Linked DNA regions of Oryctolagus cuniculus. The main gene of each other region encodes a partner of the protein of the gene in region 3 in a complex. Links are inferred from orthologs where the notes say so. Each region holds a gene or a part of one and is shown on either strand. Other genes may lie near its edges.

Evidence for each region. The genes of interacting proteins can lie anywhere in the genome.
Region 1: TAF11 (region 3) and TAF9 share a complex: the UniProt entries of both Homo sapiens proteins name them as parts of the TFIID basal transcription factor complex. The link is inferred for Oryctolagus cuniculus from reciprocal best matches to the Homo sapiens genes TAF11 and TAF9.
Region 2: TAF11 (region 3) and TAF5 share a complex: the UniProt entries of both Homo sapiens proteins name them as parts of the TFIID basal transcription factor complex. The link is inferred for Oryctolagus cuniculus from reciprocal best matches to the Homo sapiens genes TAF11 and TAF5.

Annotation. Positions count from the first base shown.
Region 1 is NC_091445.1:90,325,343-90,332,353, reverse strand, and holds the start of TAF9 (transcription initiation factor TFIID subunit 9), read left to right. Parts: upstream 1-2,610; 5' UTR 2,611-2,657; exon of another isoform or gene 2,658-2,730; intron 2,731-2,948; exon of another isoform or gene 2,949-2,964; coding exon of another isoform or gene 2,965-3,256; intron 3,257-5,131; coding exon of another isoform or gene 5,132-5,224; intron 5,225-5,976; 5' UTR 5,977-6,003; coding exon 6,004-6,798; 3' UTR 6,799-7,011. Other genes in the region: cell cycle checkpoint protein RAD17, read right to left, coding at 1,002-1,105, 2,164-2,374; AK6 (adenylate kinase isoenzyme 6), read left to right, coding at 2,965-3,256, 5,132-5,224. UniProt on the Homo sapiens protein: The TFIID basal transcription factor complex plays a major role in the initiation of RNA polymerase II (Pol II)-dependent transcription.
Region 2 is NC_091446.1:26,644,425-26,651,477, reverse strand, and holds the start of TAF5 (transcription initiation factor TFIID subunit 5), read left to right. Parts: upstream 1-2,652; 5' UTR 2,653-2,695; coding exon 2,696-3,254; intron 3,255-6,496; coding exon 6,497-6,734; intron 6,735-7,053. UniProt on the Homo sapiens protein: The TFIID basal transcription factor complex plays a major role in the initiation of RNA polymerase II (Pol II)-dependent transcription.
Region 3 is NC_091436.1:134,548,381-134,555,597, forward strand, and holds the start of TAF11 (transcription initiation factor TFIID subunit 11), read left to right. Parts: upstream 1-2,602; 5' UTR 2,603-2,711; coding exon 2,712-2,882; intron 2,883-5,352; coding exon 5,353-5,501; intron 5,502-7,217. Other genes in the region: ANKS1A (ankyrin repeat and SAM domain-containing protein 1A), read right to left, coding at 1,110-1,303. UniProt on the Homo sapiens protein: The TFIID basal transcription factor complex plays a major role in the initiation of RNA polymerase II (Pol II)-dependent transcription.

The sequences.
Region 1 (7,011 bases), on a different chromosome or scaffold from region 3:
GAGTTTCACAGTCAAGGCTACCTGATTCATTTTCCTCTGATTAAAAGGTCGTTGGTATTATAATCGTGGCACCTCTCCCGTATTCAAGAGTACTCAAAGAGAATGTCTTAGTAGACCCATTGGTAGCAACTCTGATTTGCCCATTACTTACCCACTTTATAGTTGTATTTTTTACATAAATGTGAATTCCAATCTACTGGAAAAAAGAATCAGCGAAATTGATAATTTACTTAAGATCAGTGAAAATGAGAGATACTACCAAGGAAAAACAGCTACCATGCAGGTACATTGATACTGTCTGACCCCATGCCCTCCCACACCCTATCTTTCTGAGAACTGACACGCACTGGGCAACGAAGTACAGCCTGGGGTTAAGCTGAATCACCAACCACCATTCGTGTGTCTCTTTCTTCTTCTTCTTCTTTTTTTTTTTTTTTTTGAGACAGGCAGAGTGGACAGTGAGAGAGAGAGAAAGGTCTTCCTTTTGCCGTTGGTTCACCCTCCAATGGCCGCCGCGGCCGGCGCACCGCGCTGATCCGATGGCAGGAGCCAGGAGCCAGGTGCTTTTCCTGGTCTCCCATGGGGTGCAGGGCCCAAGCACTTGGGCCATCCTCCACTGCACTCCCTGGCCACAGCAGAGAGCTGGCCTGGAAGAGGAGCAACCGGGACAGAATCCGGCGCCCCGACCGGGACTAGAACCCGGTGTGCCGGCGCCACAGCAGAGGATTAGCCTAGTGAGCCGCGGCGCCGGCCTTTCTATGCTCTTTCATTCGAGAGTTTTTAGCCTTTTCTTTGTGACTGGGCTTGCAAACACTTTTTCAAAATTAAAATTGTGCTTTTAGGTTCAGTTGTTCCAGAACTTATTAACAGACTTGTTTAGATCACTAATTTCAAAAAAAAATGGGCACCATTATTCTGATAGCAGTCAGTCATTAAGAGCATGTGTAAAAACACCTAATTCATTTAGGTAACTATCACATGGCCATTTTAGTGTGACATACCTTTGTGGAAGACACCTTTGGTCTAAGAAAAGTGTTTGACATCATAAATCTTAATAGTTCCCATGCGTAGTACACAATCTGTAGCACAACAAAGTATAAATCACCTAGAGGAAATAGGAAAAACTCACTTCAAGTCAAGAACTGTAAGCACAGTTAAGTCGATATAACCAACAACATAACAACATCAAGGCTCAAGAACTAGTGAAAGCAAGCATGGTAAACAGGAGAAAAATCAGAACGTTACAACAAGTTAGAGGAATCTATCTGATGTTTTTTATGAGAAAACACAGCAACATATTTGGGTGCTGACCTTCTCTCAAAAAGAAAAATCAGGCAATTCTGAGAAGTTTTTAACACCAAAAATTAAACTATTCCTTTACTCCAATCCGTTGCAAGCTATTACATCTTCATTTCTAAAGTTTCAAAAAAAGGCAAGATACAATGAATTCAGACATATCAGTTACTTTGAATAAAACAGTTGAATCTCACTGTCAGTTTTTCTAGAACTTCCTTTGAGCACGCCATCAGAAAACGTCTTGGCATCACTGTTTTCCGATTTGCGTGATTCGTCAATACTGATGGAAAGCAGTGAATTCAACCATTTTAGGGCCGCCAGGAGGAACGATTTTCAAGGCCAACAAACTGTACCCTGGGAAGGTGTACTGGACTATCTGAGGAGGCACACTTCCACACACTGGCAGTCATTCACCTCTGAGAGTAGACCGCTATCAGCAATGCACAGTAGCAAAAAAAAAAAAAAAAAAAAAAAAAAAATCGATTCAATGTAGCCGACAGTCAGCACTGCAGCCGCTCAGTGAAAGCGAGACCGACAATTACCTCCTTGGAAAAGCAGGTAACTGTCAGCGACGATGCCCGTTTCCTGAAATTAGATGTCAGAGGCAGAAGACACGTTCAGGACCATCCCGAGCCCACCCACCACCACCCCACGCGCTGCACAGCCGGTCCTGAGCTCAGACATTCGTTCAGCGCCATCCTGCAACCAGCCGGCAGCCAGGCTGAGCTCGTCGGTCCCCGCTCCAGGCCGGGGCACCGCAACCCCGTCTCTCTCGTCCCAGGCGGGACGGGAGGGCATGGAGGCAGAGATGGGCTCGCGCGTCCAGGACACACACAGAAAACACCGCCACAACCGCGACGGCCTTACTTTCCGGGAGCCGCATTCCCCTCCCTCGTGGGCGGAGAGGAGCCAAGGAGCGCGGGGCCGGCTCCGGTGTTGGGGTGGCCACCCGACCCTCCCCGGGCTCGGCACCGAGCCTCTCGGGGGTCCCGCCTCCCGGGGTCCTTCCACACCCGTCGGCGCCTCGGCGACGCGGCGCGAAGGGCGGGGGCCCCAGGCGCGCGAGCGACATAGGCATCCAGCGCACTGCCTGACTCAGAGCGCGCAGCGAGCTGGCTCCCGGCCTCCATTCACGCCACGGAAGCGTGTCACAGAAGCCCAGGGAACCGCTGGCGGCGGCTGGGACTGCGGAGCTGGGCCGGGAGCGGGCGCCCGGCACGGCCTCGAGGACCCCGCGGCCGCCGGCGCTGGCGCTGCCCGCCCCTTCCGGCTCCTCCTCGCGGTGCGTAGGGCGCGCGCAGAGGAGGCGCTCGGGGCGTCCGCCGGGACGACTATGCGGCTGCCGAACATTCTGCTCACCGGTCAGGGCGCGCGGCGGGGACGGGACGCGCGGGGGGCTCCGGGCGCCGGGCGGGGAGCGCCGGGCTGCAGCGGGCGGCCGGGCGGGGGCCGCGGGGCGCGACGGTGGCCGGGGCCTGCGGACGCGGCGCGGGGCGGGGGCGGCCGCGGGGCGCGGGGAAGCCGGCCGGGACCCGGCGCTCCGGTGTGGGCAGGCTCCGTTATCTTTATAATAGAGACCCTGGTGTTCTGCTCGGAAAGCCAGCTTTGGCGTCTCTGGTCGGGTTGCTTTGGGGTTTCCCGGAGGTAACGTGCGGAAGCGTGTCGGCCATGGCGGAGGCCTCGCGTCGTGGGCCTTCGCGGGTGGGCGCGGGTGCTGGCGGCGTGGCGGAGCGCGTGCAGTCACTGCGGCCGTGTGCTGGGGTAGTGTCCAGGCGCCTGCCTCCCTTTGTGATGGGAGCGCACGCTGTGGAGCCCCCGGCTGCTCGTGAGCCCCTGCGGGTCTCGGACACTGACCCGCTGTGGCCAGCGAAGCGGCTAGAACGCTGGGCCTCTAGGCCTGAGACGTGTCCGTTGAGAGCGTCCTGCGCCGTTCGTGGGGGAATCTATGGAGCGTATCGAAGTATTAAGAGATTGTGAAGAGTTGTGTTTTTTTTTTTTTTTTTTGAAGATTTGTTTGTTTGAAAGTTACAGGGAGAGGGAGGGAGGAGACGCAGATCTCGCATCTGCTGCGCTGGTTCACTCCCGGCAGGATCGCAGTGGCGGGGGCTGAGCCAGGCAAAGCCAGGAGCTTCACCCGGGTCTCCTGCACGGGTGGCAGGGGCCCAAGCAGTTGAGCCGTCTGCCACTGCTTTCCCCCGGCCCTGAGCAGGGAGCCGGACTGAAGTGGAGCAGCCAGACACCACGGGCACTCGTACAGGGTGCTGGAGTGGAAGGCAGCGGCTTTGCCCCTACTCCACAGCCCTGAACCCTGAAAAGGTTTTTTCCCTTCAACATTTAACGAAACTTGACATTTTTGGCAGCCCACAAAGATTGTTCCTAGGTGCTGCGCAGTAGCCCCTCAGCTAGTGAGTTTTTAGCCTGTGAGATTCATTATGATGAAGATTTTGCAGCATCTGATTTGCATGGATTAGTGTCCTGATTAATGCTGTAAAAAAAAAATCTGGTGTGAATATTTTAATGAAAGTTGAGTCCAGGGTTCAGACTTGGTATAATATAGTAGACAGGGGTTAAATGTCCTGCATGTGGAGATTGGATTTATACATGTTAATAATGCTCAGATGTAATCATTAAAGTGTCATTAAACATTGAGAAGCTGAAAATTATGCGTTTGATTATCTTGGAATATAATTCTTTTAGACGTAAAAGGGGAAAGGTATAGAACAATGCATAGTATTACCATTTATGTAAAAGGCAATACAAGTGGCATGTGTTTTTGCACATAGGATATGCTACCTACACCTACTTCTGTGTATAGACACACATGCATAGGACTTCTTCGGAAAGGTATGCAAAAGACTAGTTACAGTGGTTCCCAGACTAAGGTTTGTTCCATGAGCAATTTTTTTTTTTTTTTTTTTTTTTTCTTTTTGGACAGGCAGAGTTAGACAGTGAGAGAGAGAAACAGAGAGAAAGGTCTTCCTTCTGTTGGTTCACCCCCCAAATGGTTGTTACGGCTGGCGCGCTGCGCCGATCCGAAGCCAGGAGCCAGGTGCTTCTCCTGGTCTCCCATGGGGTGCAGGGCCCAAGCACTTGGGCCATCCTCCACTGCACTCCCAGGCCACAGAAGAGAGCTGGACTGGAAGAGGAGCAACTGGGACAGAATCCGGCGCCCCCACCGGGACTAGACCCCGGAGTGCCTGTGCCGCAGGCGGAGGATTAACCTAGTGAGCTGCGGTGCCGGCCAATGAACAATTTCTTAATCTTTTAAAATAAAAGCAAATAAATGACAGTAATTGATTTGAGGTGGCTGATTTTATTGTGGGCAGTCTGACGTTGGTGGCAGCAGTCAGAATTTGTATTCCCACCCATGGAGAAACATTGCGTGATTCTGACATCCAGAGCTTTTTTGCAGAAAAATTTTTTTAATTCGGGAGAGCACTCATGCATGTTCTCATCCACTGATGGACTCCCCAAATGCCTGTGCTGCCAGAAACCAGGAAGTCAGCTCAGTCCTGCTACCTGGATACTTGAGCAGTCCTCTGCCTCCTGGGATCTGCATTGGCAGGAAGCTGAAGTCAGGAGTCAGAGCCAAATACCGAACTTAGTCTAAACTCAAACATGGGAGGTGGGCATCCTAACCTCTACAGACACCTGCCCTGGGAGATTTTGTTTAGTTGGTTTTGTATATTCACATCTGGTTGCTTACTACTATTTTTGTATATTCACATCTGGTTGCTTTCCTACTAGGAAAGTTGTTAAGAACCTTACAAAGGGTGGAAGTAGTTGAAGTCTATAATAGTATTTCATAGGCATTTTTCTGTGATTTGTCTTACAGGTACTCCAGGGGTTGGGAAAACCACACTAGGCAAAGAACTTGCATCAAGATCAGGACTGAAATACGTTAATGTGGGTGATTTAGCTCGAGAAGGTAAGGGGATGCTTTAGTGTTGGGTTTTTGTTTTTGTTTTTGTTTTTGTTTTTCTTGCAGTCGGCTAGTGGAATTATTGGTACTGTTAGGTATTGTGAGAGGGTACAAAAGCAGAGACAGATTCCTATTATGGAATTTGTGCTCTATCCGGAGCCTACAGAAAAAGAAGATACTAAGTGTCCAATACTGTGTCCTTTTTATTTTGATTATTTCCACCTCCTTCTCCCCAAATTGGCTAGCAATTCTTGTGAGTAGAAATAATTAGGAAGGCTTCCATGAAGAAATTGGGACTTGGGATCTGAATATGAGGCAGAAGGAGAATGTTTTGAGTTGGACAAACACAGAGGTTTGGGTGATGCCACACATATATAGGACAGTGAGTAAATTGACAACATTAGAAAGATTAATTTTGAATTCAAGCAGTAGAATATGATTGTTCTATAGTATTAGATTATTTCAAAGCGGTGCATGTTTTTACAGATTTAACCATATTTTCCCCTAGTTTTTTAGTTAGTCCTTTATTTTTGTCTTCATCTTTTTATACTCTAGAATGATTTTTAACAGGGTAGGAACTCAGTAAGTGTAAGTAAAGGAAACTTTTAAGTGTGTCTTGTTGAAATTAAAAATATTTAACATGTTTTAAAATTTAAATTTATTTTTTAAAGGATATAACGCATATTTTAAAAAACTAAGTTCCTAGAAGTTGCTACTGAAGTTTTTCAGTTTGATCTAATATACATATTTTTTTCAAGTGATCTAAAGTTTGATCACCGGATATCATGGAGTCTGGCAAGATGGCTTCTCCCAAGAGCATGCCGAAAGATGCACAGATGATGGCACAAATCCTGAAGGATATGGGGATTACAGAATATGAGCCAAGAGTTATAAATCAGATGTTGGAGTTTGCATTCCGATATGTGACCACAATTCTAGATGATGCAAAGATTTATTCGAGCCATGCTAAGAAAGCTACTGTTGATGCAGACGATGTGCGGTTGGCAATCCAGTGTCGTGCTGACCAGTCTTTTACTTCTCCTCCCCCAAGAGATTTTTTATTAGATATTGCAAGGCAAAGAAATCAAACCCCTTTGCCATTGATCAAACCATATTCAGGTCCTAGATTGCCACCTGATAGGTACTGTTTAACCGCTCCGAACTATAGGCTTAAGTCTTTGCAGAAAAAGGCGTCTACTTCTGCAGGAAGAATAACGGTTCCGCGGTTAAGTGTTGGGTCAGTTACTAGCAGACCAAGTACTCCCACACTAGGCACCCCAACTCCACAGACCATGTCTGTTTCTACTAAAGTAGCTACTCCAATGTCCCTCACAGGACAGAGGTTCACAGTACAGATGCCTGCTTCACAGTCACCCGCTGTGAAGGCATCAATTCCTGCAACATCAGCAGTTCAGAATGTTCTCATTAATCCATCGTTAATTGGGTCCAAAAACATTCTTATTACCACTAATATGGTGTCATCACAGAATACTGCCAGTGAAACAAATGCATTGAAAAGAAAACGTGACGATGATGATGACGATGACGATGATGATGATGATGACTATGATAATTTGTAATCTAACCTTGATGCATGTCATGTGTACTTGGTCTTGAATCCATTGTACTGAAATTAAACAAGTATGTTTGATGTTTTCAAGTTGTGTTTGAGAAAACCTGTATAGTATTTAAGTATATATAAGTATAGTTTTCAGTTGAAATGTTGGATTTTCTTTAATAAGATTAGTAGTGGTTTTTCATCAGCCTTTAAGTGTAAAAAATAAAGTTGTTTA
Region 2 (7,053 bases), on a different chromosome or scaffold from region 3:
AGGAAAGGAATAATATCCAGATTGACTCCAAATGTAAAAGAAATTTTTTAAATTTACTTGAGACTGAGAGGTAGAAATGGGGTCACAGGGGTACACAGTGAGAGAGGGAGAGGGAAAGAGAGAGCAAGAGGGGGGCCGGCGCCGTGGTGCAATAGGTTGATCCTCCGCCTGTGGCACCGGCATCCTATATGGGTGCTGGTTCTGGTCCTGGCTGCTCCTCTTCTAATCCAGCTGTCTGCTATGGCCTGGGAAGGCAGTGGAGGATGGCCTAAGTGCTTGGGCCCCTGCGCCCACGTGGGAGACCTGGAGGAGGCTCCTGGCTCCTGGCCTCAGATTGGTGCAGCTCTGGCTGTAGCAGCCATTTGGGGAGTGAACCAGTGGAGGGAAGGCCTTTCCCTGTCTCTCCCTCTCACTGTCTGTAACTCTACCTCTCCAATAAATAAATAAAAAATTCTTAAAAAAAGAGAGAGATAAAGAGGGAGAGGGAGAGAGAGAGGGAGGGAGGGAGAGAGAGAGAGAGAGGGAAATCATGCTTCAGTTTTCACTTCCCAAGTACATGCAACAGCCAGGTCTGCGCCAAGCCAAAGCCAGAAATCAGGAGCTTAATCTGAAGCTTTCCAGTGGATGGCAAGGATTCAATTTTTGATTAAACATTTACAGAATACTTTTTTTTAAAAAGATTTATTTATTTGAGAGGTAGAGTTACAGAGAGAGGGAGGCATAGAGAGAAAGATCTTCCATCTGCTGGTTCATTCCTCGAATGGCTGCAACAGCCAGAGCTGGTCTGATTTAAAGCCAGGAGCCAAGAGCTTCTTCCAGGTCTCCCAAGCAGATGCAGGGGCCCAAGCACTTGGACCATCTTTTTCTACTTTCCTAGGCCATAGCAGAGAGCTGGATTGGAAGTGGAGCAGCCAAGTCTCGAACCACCGCTCATATGGGATTCTGCTGCTGCAGTCGGAGGCTTAGCCTACTATGCCGATACATCATAGCACCAACTCCTACAGAATACCTTTTAAGGTGAAGTTAAACCAACTACTAGTGGGGGAGGACACCTGGGGCAGCTGGTAGGATGATGCTTGCAATACCTGTATATCACATTGGTGTACCTGGGTTTGAGTCCTGGCTCTACTTCTCATTCCAGCTTCCTTGCTAGTGGGCACTCTGGAAGACAGCAAGTGAGGGCCCAAATGGTTGGATCCTTAGTACCCAAGTGGGAGATCCAGATTGAGTTCTGGGTGCCTGGTTTCAGCTGTCCCTGGCCTGGTTGTTGCAGGTATTTTGGGCCAGCAGATGGATGATCTCTCTTTCAAACAGTTAAAATATACAATTTACTTGTAATAATGGATAGCAGTTGGAATATACAACGTACAAATTTCACAATCACAAACTTCCAGTACTTTAAAACTTTTTATTGAAATGTATATGCTGGGGCCAGTGCCATGGTGCAGTAGGTTAATCTTCTGCCTGCACTGCTGGTATCCCATATGGGCGCTGGTTCATGTCCCAGCTGCTCCTCTTCCAACCCAGCTCTCTGCTATGGTCTGGGCAAGCAGTAGAGGATGGCCCAAATCCTTGAGCCCCTGCACCTGCATGGGAGACCAGGAAGAAGCACCTGGCTCCTGGCTTCAGATGGGTACAGCTCCGGCTGTTGTGGCCATTTGGGGAGTGAACCAACGGAAGGAAGACCTTTCTCTCTGCCTTTCCCTCTCATTGTCTGTAACTTTACCTCTCAAATAAAGAAATAAAAATCTTAAATGTATATGTATGTATATATATATATATATATATATATATATATATATATATGCTGAGGCCAGTGCTATGACTCACAGGGTTAAAGCCCCGGCCTGCAGTGCTAACATCCCATATGGGTGCTGGTTCCAGTGCCCAAGTCTTCTGATCCAGCTCTCTGCTAATGCACCTGGGAAAGCAGTGGAAGATGGCCCATGTACTTGGGCCCCTGCACCCACGTGGGAGACCCAACAGAAGTTCCCGGCTCCTGGCTCTGGATCAGCTCAGCTTAGCTCTGGCCATTGCAGCCAACTGGGGAGTGAACCAGATGGAAGACTTCGTTCTCTGTCTCTATCTCTTTCAAATAAAAAAATAAATCTTTAAAATATTTATATGTATGCTGTAACGTTCACAAAATTATTTAAGCATGCAACTCGATTTGTAAGAACTGCCAAAAAAAAAAAAAAAAAAAAAAGGAAGTAACCACTATCCACATCAAAATGCAAAACATTAGCAGTATCTTGGAAGCATCCTTCGGGCAAACGACGCGTGCTTTAGTGCTAAGAACATGGCTTTGAGTCGTGACACTTAAGACTTCTTGTGTGTGACTTCAGCAAGTTATTTAACCTCTCTGGGTTGTAGTTAAGCCACTTCTAAAGACTGTTGAATTAAAGGCTTCCATATAATAACGAAGATCGTCTATCACAGTGCCTGAATATAACTGGCCTGCAATAAACAGTAATTATGGTCAGGCAAATATAGAGGCGGTCACCAACTCCCACTTCCTGCCGGCCTTTCGCTCATTTTTTGAAAGTTGCTCTCGCTCCCAGCCCTTTTCTCCTTCTCTCTCGCTCCTCCTACTGCCGTAAATAGCCGACCAGAGCTGTCGTGAAATGCTCCTCCCCGCCCTCCATGTGGCGAAAACGCAATCACGCTTGACGGCGCGAGGTGGCTCAGCCGCAAGATGGCGGCGCTGGCGGAGGAGCAGACGGAGGTGGCGGTCAAGCTAGAGTCTGAGGGACCACCGACGCTGCTACCTCCGCAGGCGGGTGACGGCACAGGCGAGGGCACCGTCGGCATTACCAACAACGGCCCCAACGGCAGTGGCGGGAACGTTGCGGCGGCGTCGTCGGCCGGCGGGGATGGCGGGACCCCCAAGCCCGCGGTGGCTGTCTCCGCTGCTGCCCCGGCGGGGGCGGCTCCGGTACCTGCCGCTGCCTCGGAGGCTGGTGCTCCCCACGACCGACAGACTCTGCTGGCGGTGCTGCAGTTTCTACGGCAGAGCAACCTCCGCGAGGCCGAAGAGGCGCTGCGCCGCGAGGCCCGGCTGCTGGAAGAGGCAGTAGCGGGCTCCGGAGCCCCGGGAGAGGTGGACGGCGCCGGCGCTGAGGCGGCTAGCTCGCTTCTCAGCCGGGTCACCGCCTCGGCCCCCGGCCCGGCGGCCCCCGACCCTCCGGGCACCGGCGCTTCGGGGGCGACGGTTGTCTCCGGCTCAGCCTCAGGTCCTGCGGCTCCGGGGAAAGGTGAGCCGGGGGGTCCCGGGGAAGCCGGGCCGGCGCGAAGGGGAGCTAGCCGGGAAGGCGAGGGCTGGCAGGCCTGCACCTCTGCGGGCTTGTTTTGAATTTCCTGGGCCCGCCTCTAGGGCCACATGCCCGCCCCTTTCCCGAGTGCGCCGGCTGCGCAGTCAACCCTCGTCTGAGCTGTCAGTTGCAGCGAGAGGCTGAACAGAGCTGTGGATCTGAGCTGTGTGGGGAAGGTGGGCGCGGGGAGGCGGGGACCTCCAGGCTTCGGCCCCTTTTCTCCCGTTTGGGCTTTTAAGCTTTGGGCAAGTCTGCATTGACAGCGACAGTCTTTGTGGAATTCTGTACTGGCGTATTTTAAGCTGTAAATACTTGGCAGTCTCGGTTCTCACAGTTTCATTGAGGCGGACATGACCTCTATTTTGGAGACAAGGAAACAGATTTCTTGAGCGATCCCAAGGAGCTTGCCTTGGGTCTCGGTAGCCAGGGAGTGATGGAACATGGTGTACCCAGCATTTCTCAAAATACGGGCTAGGCACCAGCAGTGCTGTGTCTTCGGGGCATCATTTCAGACGGAGGGAATCAGACCCTTAGAGGTAGAGTCTGGGAACCTGCGTTTTTGAGTTGGTGCTTCCAAGAAGTATGGATGGGTCGTGAAGTTTGAGAACTCTAAGTTTTAGGAGCCATAAGGTGGACAGACCTCTTTGTCTCTGCTGCTTTTACTTGTGTGATGTTGATTGACTCATTTTTTCCTAAGGTTACTTTTTTTTTTTTCTATTAACTGAGTTTTTATGAGACTCAGATGTAATATCTGTAAAATGCCTTGTGCTGATAGGCTCTTTCCTCTCCATCCCTGACACCCGAGACCACACCTTTCTTCCAGTAAATGTCATAAGTCTTTGCAGTACAATTCATACACAATGTAAGATCTTGAAGGTGATCCTGAACCAACAATAAATATTCATTGAATTAAATTATATGTTGCAGAGCCTCTAGCCAAATTAATCTGTATTTATGTGACCTAATCTTTGCAGCATTGCCAGAAGTGAAGTTTGAATACATAGTGTTGTATTTCATAGATAGAAATGCCCAAAATGTGGTTGGGAGGAATTTCTTCTTAATATTGAATTTTGTGAATGAACTATAAAATGAGTTATATTGTTGGTTATTTTACTGTCATCTCTTGATTCTGAAACTAAATCAGTTTTTAGATCATAATTGAGAAGTCAGTAAGGAGGAAAAGAGGCCATTAGAGTAACCCAAAGAATTACATTTATGCCATAGAAAGCGTAACTGTATTATTATTGCAATTTAAATTTCCACTTACCCAAAGTAATTTGATTGACAGATGTAACTTTGATATTCCTATATTAGAAATAGATACTCTGGGCCGGCGATGCGGCTCAGTAGGCTAATCCTCTGCCTGCGGCGCCGGCACCCTGGGTTCTAGTCCCAGTTGGGGTGCTGGATTCTGTCCCGGTTGTTCCTCTTCCAGGCCAGCTCTCTGCTGTGGCCCAGGAAGGCAGTGGAGGATGCACCTGCATGGGAGACCAGGAGGAAGCACCTGGCTCCTGGCTTTGGATCGGTGCAACGTTCCAGCCGTAGTGGCCACTTAGGGGGTGAACCAACGGAAAAAGGAAGACCTTTCTCTCACTCTCACTGTCTAACTCTGTCTGTCAAAAAAAATAAAAGAAAAAAGAAAAAGAAATAGATACTTTGTCTTCTTCCTTGAAATAGTGGTTATGGAAATTGCTTTAAGCATATACAATTGAGTTAGTTTTAGGTGTGGGGCAGTGCCAACATCCCATATGGACACGGGTTCAAGTCCTGGCTGCTCCACTTCAGTCCAGCTTTCTTCTGTGGCCTGAGAAAGCAGTAGAAGCTGGCCCAGATCCTCAGGCCTTGGAAGAAGCTCCTGGCTCCTGGCTTCGGCTCAGACCATCTGTGGTTGTTGCAGCCATTTGGGGAGTGAACCAGTGGATGGAAGACCTCTCTCTCTCTCTCTCTCTGCCTCTGCTTTCAAATAATAAATAAATAAATATATTTTAAAAAATTAGGTGTGGCCCTTCCCATTCTAAAAATGCCTACATTTTACTTTTAATATTTATTATTACTTTTAATTATTAAATTATTAAATATTATTAATTTTAATATTTATTTGAAAGGCAGAGTTACAGAGAGAGGGAGAGAGAGAGGTCTTCTATCCACTGGTTCACTCCCCAATGGCCACAATGGCCAGAGCTGGGCTGATCTGAAGCCAGGAGCCTGGAGCTTCTTCCGGGTCTCCCATGTTAGTGCAGGGGCCCAAGGACTTGGGCCATCTTCTGCTTTCCCAGGCACATCAGTAGGGAGCTAGACTGGACATGGAGCAGCAGCACCCGTGTGGGATACTGGCCCTGCAGATAGAGGCTTTAGACGTGTATGTAGGAAGGTAATACAGGATAGGATGTATCACAGGAATGTTACAAAGTACTGAGTAGCTGGGAGAGCCTGGAGCGCTACTCTAGGGCACGGTTTGGTGGTCCTGGTGGTGGTGGTGGGTGCTATTTGTACTGAGCCTTGAGAGATTAATGTGTTTTTTTGCTTTGGCCATACCTACATTTATGCGATTTGCATTTAAAACAGATAGCGCCATTAAAAAAGGTATTAAACCTTCTTGTTATTGATGTGATTTTTTTTTTTTTTTGACAGGCAGAGTGGACAGTGAGAGAGAGAGACAGAGAGAAAGGTCTTCCTTTTGCCGTTGATTCACCCTCCAGTGGCCGCCGCAGCTGGTGCGCTGCGGCTGGCGCACTGCGCTGATCCGAAGCCAGGAGCCAGGTGCTTCTCCTGGTCTCCCAGGGGGTGCAGGGCCCAAGCACTTGAGCCATCCTCCACTGCACTCCCGGGCCACAGCAGAGAGCTGGCCTGGAAGGGGGGCAACCGGGACAGAATCCGGCGCCCCGACTGGGACTAGAACCCGGTGTGCCAGTGCCACTAGGTGGAGGATTGGCCTATTGAGCCGTGGCGCCAGCTTGATGTGATATTTTAAGATATGGACATGCTGATGGGGTTTTGGCTTGGGTAACTGAGACAAATGTGGAATTTCATGAAAAGATTATGTAATTATTTTAAGGAAGAGAGGTTGAGAGAAAAGGGACAAATATCTGAGAAACAGTTCACCTCTGGACCATAGCAAAACAGCCATGGTCACATGGTACGTATTATATCATTTTCTTAAAGGTTATCTTTTATTTTTTTAACAGTTGGAAATGTCGCTGTGGAAGACCAACCAGATGTCAGTGCTGTGTTGTCGGCCTACAACCAACAAGGAGATCCGACAATGTATGAAGAATACTATAGTGGACTCAAACACTTCATTGAATGTTCTTTGGACTGCCATCGGGCAGAGTTATCCCAACTCTTTTATCCTCTGTTTGTGCACATGTACTTGGAGCTGGTCTACAATCAACATGAGAATGAAGCAAAATCATTCTTTGAGAAGTATGTGAATTTTTCCATATATTACACACACACACACACACACACACACATATCTGTGATCCTGCAAATTTAAGATTGCAACTCAGAAAGTACTTTATAAAGGAGAGGAACCTAAAATGGGAGCCGCGGAGGGGGGTGGATCCCAGAGGGAGCGATGCTTGAGGTGAGAGCTAAAGACTGGGTAGAGTTATCCATATGAAGAGAAGAGAGAAAAGTGTTTGAAAGCTCTGTGGCAAAATGGACCATGGTAGCTGCAAAGACTGAAAGGAGCAAGGTCTGAAGTGGGGGTGTGGTACAGCAGGAAGCTCAGGGATTGGTT
Region 3 (7,217 bases):
ATAGGCCAGTATTGTAAGGGCTGGCAAAACAGCAGGAAACGGTACTGCTCTGCTTGTTTGTTCTTTCCTTAAGGAAACTCCCGGGAAGGGTTCTTGTCTTACACTGCCTTTCCAAATCTTCCTGTGAAGACCGTGGTTGGTACTCAGTGCTTAAAATACTTGACTCGGGCTTCTTTTTTTGGTCCAAGCTCACCCAAATCGAAGTAACATAAATTAATGGGGAACAGAAGCTAACGAAGCCATTTCTAAATGAACTTCCACTTCTTAAAAACCTCAAAAGAACAAGGAAGGAAAACAGGCTATGAAAGTGCTGCTGAACCAACATATTTTACTCAATGACAAAGCATCTCCAATCCCCCTTCCAAGCGACACAGAACTCATTTTCCCCTCTCGAACCTCACAGCTTCGGATTCAAGTGTCCAACAACAGACCCCAGAAAATTTTAAAGCGCCCCTCCATTTCCCAACCAAGTCTTCCTAAACTTTCACTTCTTGATGAACAGACCCCAGAAGAACCCTGCAAGGAGGCTCATTACAAGGAACCACAATTCGAGCCTCAAGCACGAGAGGGGCTCCAAGACGAACTCTCCGAACGTGACCGATCCAGAGACAATTCTGATATAAACAGAAGCCAGGTTCTGCACAGCCTGGCGGAAGGCTGCAGGCTCCTGCGGGAAGGGAATCCCCTCCAGCAGAGCCGCGGCATTCTGCAAGCCGTGGGAGCTTCTGCAGGAGGTGAGGGAGGTCCCATACACACACACAGATCATTTGCTCTCAAGTGGCTTTTGTGAAGCAACGACAGCTGGCATCCCACAGCGGGCGAGGGTGACGCCGGGCTGTGCCATGCGGCGGAGCGGCCACCTGGGCACTCCCACCATTCTTCGCACCCGGGTCAGGACCGAGAGACAAGGAGAGCGGAGCGCCGCGCCAACTCGGACCCGCGCCCCCTCCGGCTTCCTGTCCCGCCGGCCGCCTGCCCTCGCTCCCCGAGTACGCCGCGAGCCCACCCCGCCGGGTCTCGGGAGCCCGACCTCTCCAGGGACCTAAAAGACGTACGGGCGGGCGGGGGGGGGGTCTCCAGGCGGCTGCCGGGCCCCGGCGCGTACCCACCTGAGCAGACTGGAGAGAGGGTGGCTGGAAGAGCCGAGGCCGCCGCCGCCGCCGCCGCCGCCGCCACTGCCCCCAGAGGAGCCGCCGCCGCCACCCCCGAAGCCTGAGGAGAGCCGCTTCCCGGACAGCAGCTTCTCCACGGCCGGGAGGTGCCCGGTGCGGGCCGCCTCCAGCAGCTCCTGCTCCTTCCCCATCCCCAGGGCCGCCACCCCAGGACCCCCCACCCCGGGGCCACCGTGGAGCCGGCTCGGCTCCCAAACTTTCCGTCTCCGGGCAACGCACCCCCTAAACCGGCCGGGGACACCACCCCCCTCCCCCCCCGCCTTTTCCCCACGAGCGCGTCACTTCCGGGATCCGGCGTCACGCGTCACCGCGCCCCCATGCCCCGCCCCCTTGCCCACCTAGCTGGGCGGGGCTCCGCGTCCCTGTGCAGGTGGACCTTGGTGTGTCAGGACAGGACTTGGGGGTCAATGGGGCAGTGCCATGTGGGTACCCATTGAAGAAGTGGAAAGGGACAAAGGGGACCCACCTGTGTACGCCTCCAAAGTGCGCTTCTTTTCCAAAGGTTTTGGGAGCTCACGGGACAGGAAATACGGTAATTCGTCCCGGCGGTGTGGAAACAAAGAGAGAAATATGGTAATACGCACCTACATTTCCAAGTCCGTTCTTTAAGCATAAAGCAGTATGTAACAGGTGCGGGAGCCTGGTAATACAGAGGTGAATAAAACGCCCTGCCCCTCCCTCCGCGTGCCTCAATGAAAAAAGGCAGGACATTTTAAAAGCAGAAATATCCTAGCCCCTTCACCATCCCAATCCGTGAAATGGCTCATTAAAGTGAAGCGCTCAAAGGAGAGACCTCCCACCCTGTAGGGATTCCTCATGATGAGACTGAGTGGGTAACAGAAGTCAGGCTTGAGAAACCTATCCCGATTTTCAGCACTGGCGAACTGGAAAAATCATTTAATTCGGTAGAAAATGTTTTTTCCCTGTACTAGCGCTGCTCCGGACTCAGAAACAGGCAGTCAACACTCGTGGAGTGAATGAATGGGTTGGATAAACACTGCTCAAGCAATAGGACTTTTTTTTTTTAAGGTGCTCGTGAAATATTCGTAGAGGGGAAATGGTGGCAATTCAATGTAAAGTCAGGCCCGCAGTCTGTCCAGGTGAAATAAAGGAGGTTGAGTCCCTGCCTGAAAGTTTGCTACCCCAAGGTTACGCGACAGCCGCGTACAAAAGGAGCAGTTTTCTCCCAGGTCCTCCAACTTTGAGGAAGAGGTTAACTGACAAAGCATTCTTAGAACGACGGAAAGGAAAAAGAAACCCTTCAGGAAGCACAACTGCACTTCTTCACAGGTGCTGGTCTCCAAGGACGGATCCACAGGGGACTTTGCACCCTCAGCGTTCTCTCTCCAGCACCACCCACCCAGGATTCAAACGGAGCCCTCAGGTGCTCCGCGCGCCCCCCATGGCCCTTCCGAGGACCAGTAGTGGTGACGACATCGCGGTGCGACGACAGGAAGTAAGCGCCCACTGTGCCGCGCGAGGTCCGGAGCTCCGCGGCCGACAGCACCGCGATCTCCTCCCCTTGCCGTTCTAGCTGTGATGGACAATGCCCGCGAGTCTCCTGCGGACAAAGGTGGGGAAGCAGGGGAGTCAGACGAGACGACTGCTGCTCCTGGGGGCCCGGGGACTGCGGACACGGACGGGATCCCGGAGGAAGCGGACGGAGACGGAGACGCGGACTTGAAAGAAGCGGCAGCGGAGGAAGGCGAGGTAGGCAGAGAAGTGTGACTGAGGTTGGAGGCATACGCCGGGATTGTGTTACCCGGAGCTCGCCACGATTCCCTCTAGATCTGCCGTCCGGGGAGTGTGGGAGGAGCAACAAAACTGTGGTGCTGGTTTGGTTCCAGAGACTCGAGCATTAGGTTTTAATATGTTTAGTCCTTGCCTTTCGGGATTAAAGCTACATCTAAGTGAATTTTAAATAGCTTCTTGGTTTTCCTATTGATGAAGTCGGTACTGTCATCCCGAGACTTAGTGCAAGAGCCAAAATCCAGGATTCCCAGCGCGCCTTTCACCGCACTATAGGTCCTCTTAGTTAATTGTTGTTTAAGTACAGCTTTCGTCTTTACAGGAGGCAGAGTTGATCAGATCTGTTAACGGGAGACTTTGAAGTCATATTCTCATCCAGCTGCTGCAGTGTCCTCCGTGCTAATGTCCAGGGGTTTCTATAACGTAAAAACACCAAATCCATCAGCTGTGCTCTCAGGATAGCTCAGCAGGGTTGCCTAACCGCGCAACAATCGCGACCAGAATCTCAGCGTCCTGTGGGTTCCTTTTCTAAAGAGAGAATTTCTAGGATCTTAGAGGCAGAAGGAACTGAAGAGCTCATGGACTGAACGTTAGATGGATAGCCTTGTCACCAAAACATACACGGTAAGCTTTTAGAAAAAGAGAAGACAGTTGACAAAGCTGAAGAAGGAAAAGTTAAAATGGGTCTCAAGGACGCAAAGGAATTGAATAATTAGCATGGTCCACTAAAGGAGCTCACTACAATATAGAAGTTTGGAGCCAGCAGAGGATAGAATTATGATGCTTTTGAAACATTTTTAAAAATTAGGCCGGCGCCGCGGCTCACTAGGCTAATCCTCCGCCTTGCGGCGCCGGCACACCGGGTTCTAGTCCCAGTCAGGGCGCCAGATTCTGTCCCGGTTGCCCCTCTTCCAGGCCAGCCCTCTGCTGTGGCCAGGGAGTGCAGTGGAGGATGGCCCAAGTCCTTGGGCCCTGCACCCCATGGGAGACCAGGAGAAGCACCTGGCTCCTGCCATCGGATCAGCGCGGTGCGCCGGCTGCAGCGCGCCGGCCGCGGCGGCCATTGGAGGGTGAACCAACGGCAAAGGAAGACCTTTCTCTCTGTCTCTCTCTCTCTCACTGTCCACTCTGCCTGTAAAAAAAAAAAAAAAAAAAAAAAAAAAAAAAAATTAATCAAAGACCAGCATTGTGGCACAGCAGGTTAAGCTACCTGCAACCCCAGAATCCCATATGGGCACTGGTTCAGTTCTGGCTGCTCCGCTTCCAGTCTAGGCCCTTGCTGATGTGCCTGGGAAGGCAGCTGAAGGTGGCCCAAGTTGAGCACCTGCACCCATGTAGGACTTCTGGCTTCCACCTGGCCCAGCCCTGGTGGTTGTGACCAATTGGGGAGTGAACTAGCAGATGGAAGAACTCTGTCTCTCCCTCTCTCTGTAACTCTGCCTTTCGATAAAAATTGATTATGTTGGGGCCAGCACTGTGGATTAGCTTTAAATATGTAACATAATGCATGTAAGTATGTAAAATATTTATTAATATTCTTTAAGTCAGAATCACAAAGTTGGGGGTGGGGGGTGGGGAGTGAGCAAGCTTCCATCTGCCTGTTCATTCCCCCAAATGGTCACAGTGGCTAGAGCTGGGCCAGGCTGAAGCCAGGAGTCAGTAGCTTCTTCCAGGTCTCCCACATGGGTGCAGGGGCCCAAGGACTTGGGCCATCTTTGGGCCATCTTCTGCTGCTTTCCCAAGCACATTAGCAGGGAGCTGGATCAGAAGTAGAGCAGCCAGGACTTGAACTGGCACTCATATGAGATGCCAGTGCTGCAGACAGCAGCTTAACCCACTATGCCACAGCATTGGCCCCTACATATTTTTGATTTTCAAAGAATGTACTTATTAGAAAAAAAAAATGGCCTATCTGCTGATTCACACTCCAAATGCCCAAAACAGCTCAGACACTCTAATAGGGGACATGGACATCCCAACCAGCATCTCAGATTTTCACTCCAGGGCCTCCTTTTTAATAATCTTTCTAAATTGAATCGTCAATAGTAAAAATATCTTTGGATCCAGAGGAGAAGAGCTGGCTGGCTGGAGAGGGCTTTGGTGACATCCCCTGTAAGGAATGAGCAGGAGAGAGAGTCCATGGAGAGAGTGGTTTTCATGATCTTGGCCATTTCTTTATCCTTGTATACAGACACTGAAGCTGTGATCATAGCTAAACTGGAAAACTAGATTATTTAACTGGTTCTTTCTACAGCCTAACTAACCTTCCTTGAGGAGAGATACTGTATCTTATACTGGGTGGAACAGTCAGTTCTGGGACAAAAAAACTACACAATAAGTGGATCTGTTGTGTTATGAGGATGATGTCTTAACCTTAGCCAAGCCTGGAAAGTAGGACAAATATATAATAGAGTTCTTTTCATCTTCCCAGCTCAAAAGTCAGGACGTCTCCGATTTAACAGCAGGTGAAAGGGAAGACGCGTCATTACTTACTCCTGCAGCCAAAAAACTGAAAATCGATACCAAAGAAAAGAAAGAGAAGAAGCAGAAAGTGGATGAAGATGAGATTCAGAAGATGCAGTAAGTCTCTTTTTGTTCCTTCCCCTTTTCAGAGCTCCAGCCTGACCACACAAATTTAATAAATTTGTCTTGGCCTCTACATTTCTAACTCAAGAGGAAATAAACTAATTAATACATTGTTATAGTATAGAAAATGTGAATAAGTAAAAAGAAAACTCATCGCCCTGCCACCAAGAGGTATATACTGCCAATACTTTAATGTATATGATCCCAGGTGTTTTCTCTACACATATAACTTATAAAATTAATAAGTTTTTACAAGGTTTTTGTTTTGTTTTGCAAAATGTCAAATACTGGAGCCAGCATTGTGACACAGTGGCCTAAGCTGCTGCTTGCAACTCTGGCATCCCATTCTGCAGTGTCAGTTTGGGTCCTGGCTGCTCCACTCCCATCCAGCTCCTGCTAATGGAAGGCAGCAGATGCCCCGAGTACTTGGACTCGCTGCCACTCATGTGGGAGAGCAGGAAGGAGTTCTTGGTGCCTGGCTTCCACCTGGCCCAGACCTGGCTCTTGTGGCCATTTGGGGAGTGAACCAGTAAATGGAAGATCTCTCTGCCTTTCAAATAAATAAATAAATCTTTTTTAAAAATAAAAGTCCTATTTCATAACCTGCTTTTCCTATTATATATGGCATTTCTCATATCAACAGTTCTACCTCTAGGACATAATTTTTGTGAAAATGGAAATAGCTTTATTATATTTTCTGATTATAAAAGTGGTGTTAGCTCATTATAAATATAGAAAAAATTAATGCTATCGCAGCATTTACTCTAAGTATATATGTTTGGGTACAATAAATTGGGCATATACTTTTTCAGATTTTCAACAGTGGTTGGTGTATACAGCTAAATATTTTCCTATCAGCAGATACACCCATGAATCTTCATTTTTAATAGCTGCCATTTGTCCCATTATGTGGCTCAGCTGGAATGTAACCAATCCTGTAACTATGCGGGTTGAGTCTTTTCCTTTTACAACATTTTGAGGTGTCCTTGGACACATGTTTGCATATTTGTCCATTACTTCCTACAATAAACTCCTAGAAGTATAATTGCTGGTTCAAACAATATGAACATTTTCAAAGGCTTTTCTTTTTCTTTTTCTTTTTCTTTTACAGATAGACTGTCCATCTGCTGATTCTCTCCCCAAAAGGTCCCAACAGGCAGGGCTGGGCCAGACCTAACCTGGAGCCAGAAGCTTCTTGCAGGTTTCCCACATGGATATAGGAGCCCAAGGACTTGGGCCATCTTCCACTGCTTTCTCAGGCCAGAGCAGAGAGCTGGATCAGAAGTAGAGCAGACAGGACTCCTACCAGCACCTATATAGGATACCAGCATTTCAGGCGGCAGCTTAGCTCCTTACACCACAGCACTGCCCCCCTCCAAAGGCTTTTCATATGTTTCCAGACTGCACTCGAAAAGGTGTTCCAGTTCATACTCTGCCAGATTGTATGAATTTGTCTTCATAGTCTAATACTGTTCCTTTTAATAGTTACTTAAATTAAAAAAAAATATTACCTTGTTGTAATTTAGTTTTAGTTTCCTTAGTTAGTAGTGAAGGTTCAAGAGGCCAGTGCTGTGGCATAGTAGGCTAAGCTTCCACCTGCGGCACCAGCAACCCATATGGGCCCCAGTTCATGTCCCAGCTGCTCCACTTCCGATCCAGCCAGCTCTCTGCTATGGCCTGGGGAAGCAGCTGAAGATGGCCCAAGTGCTT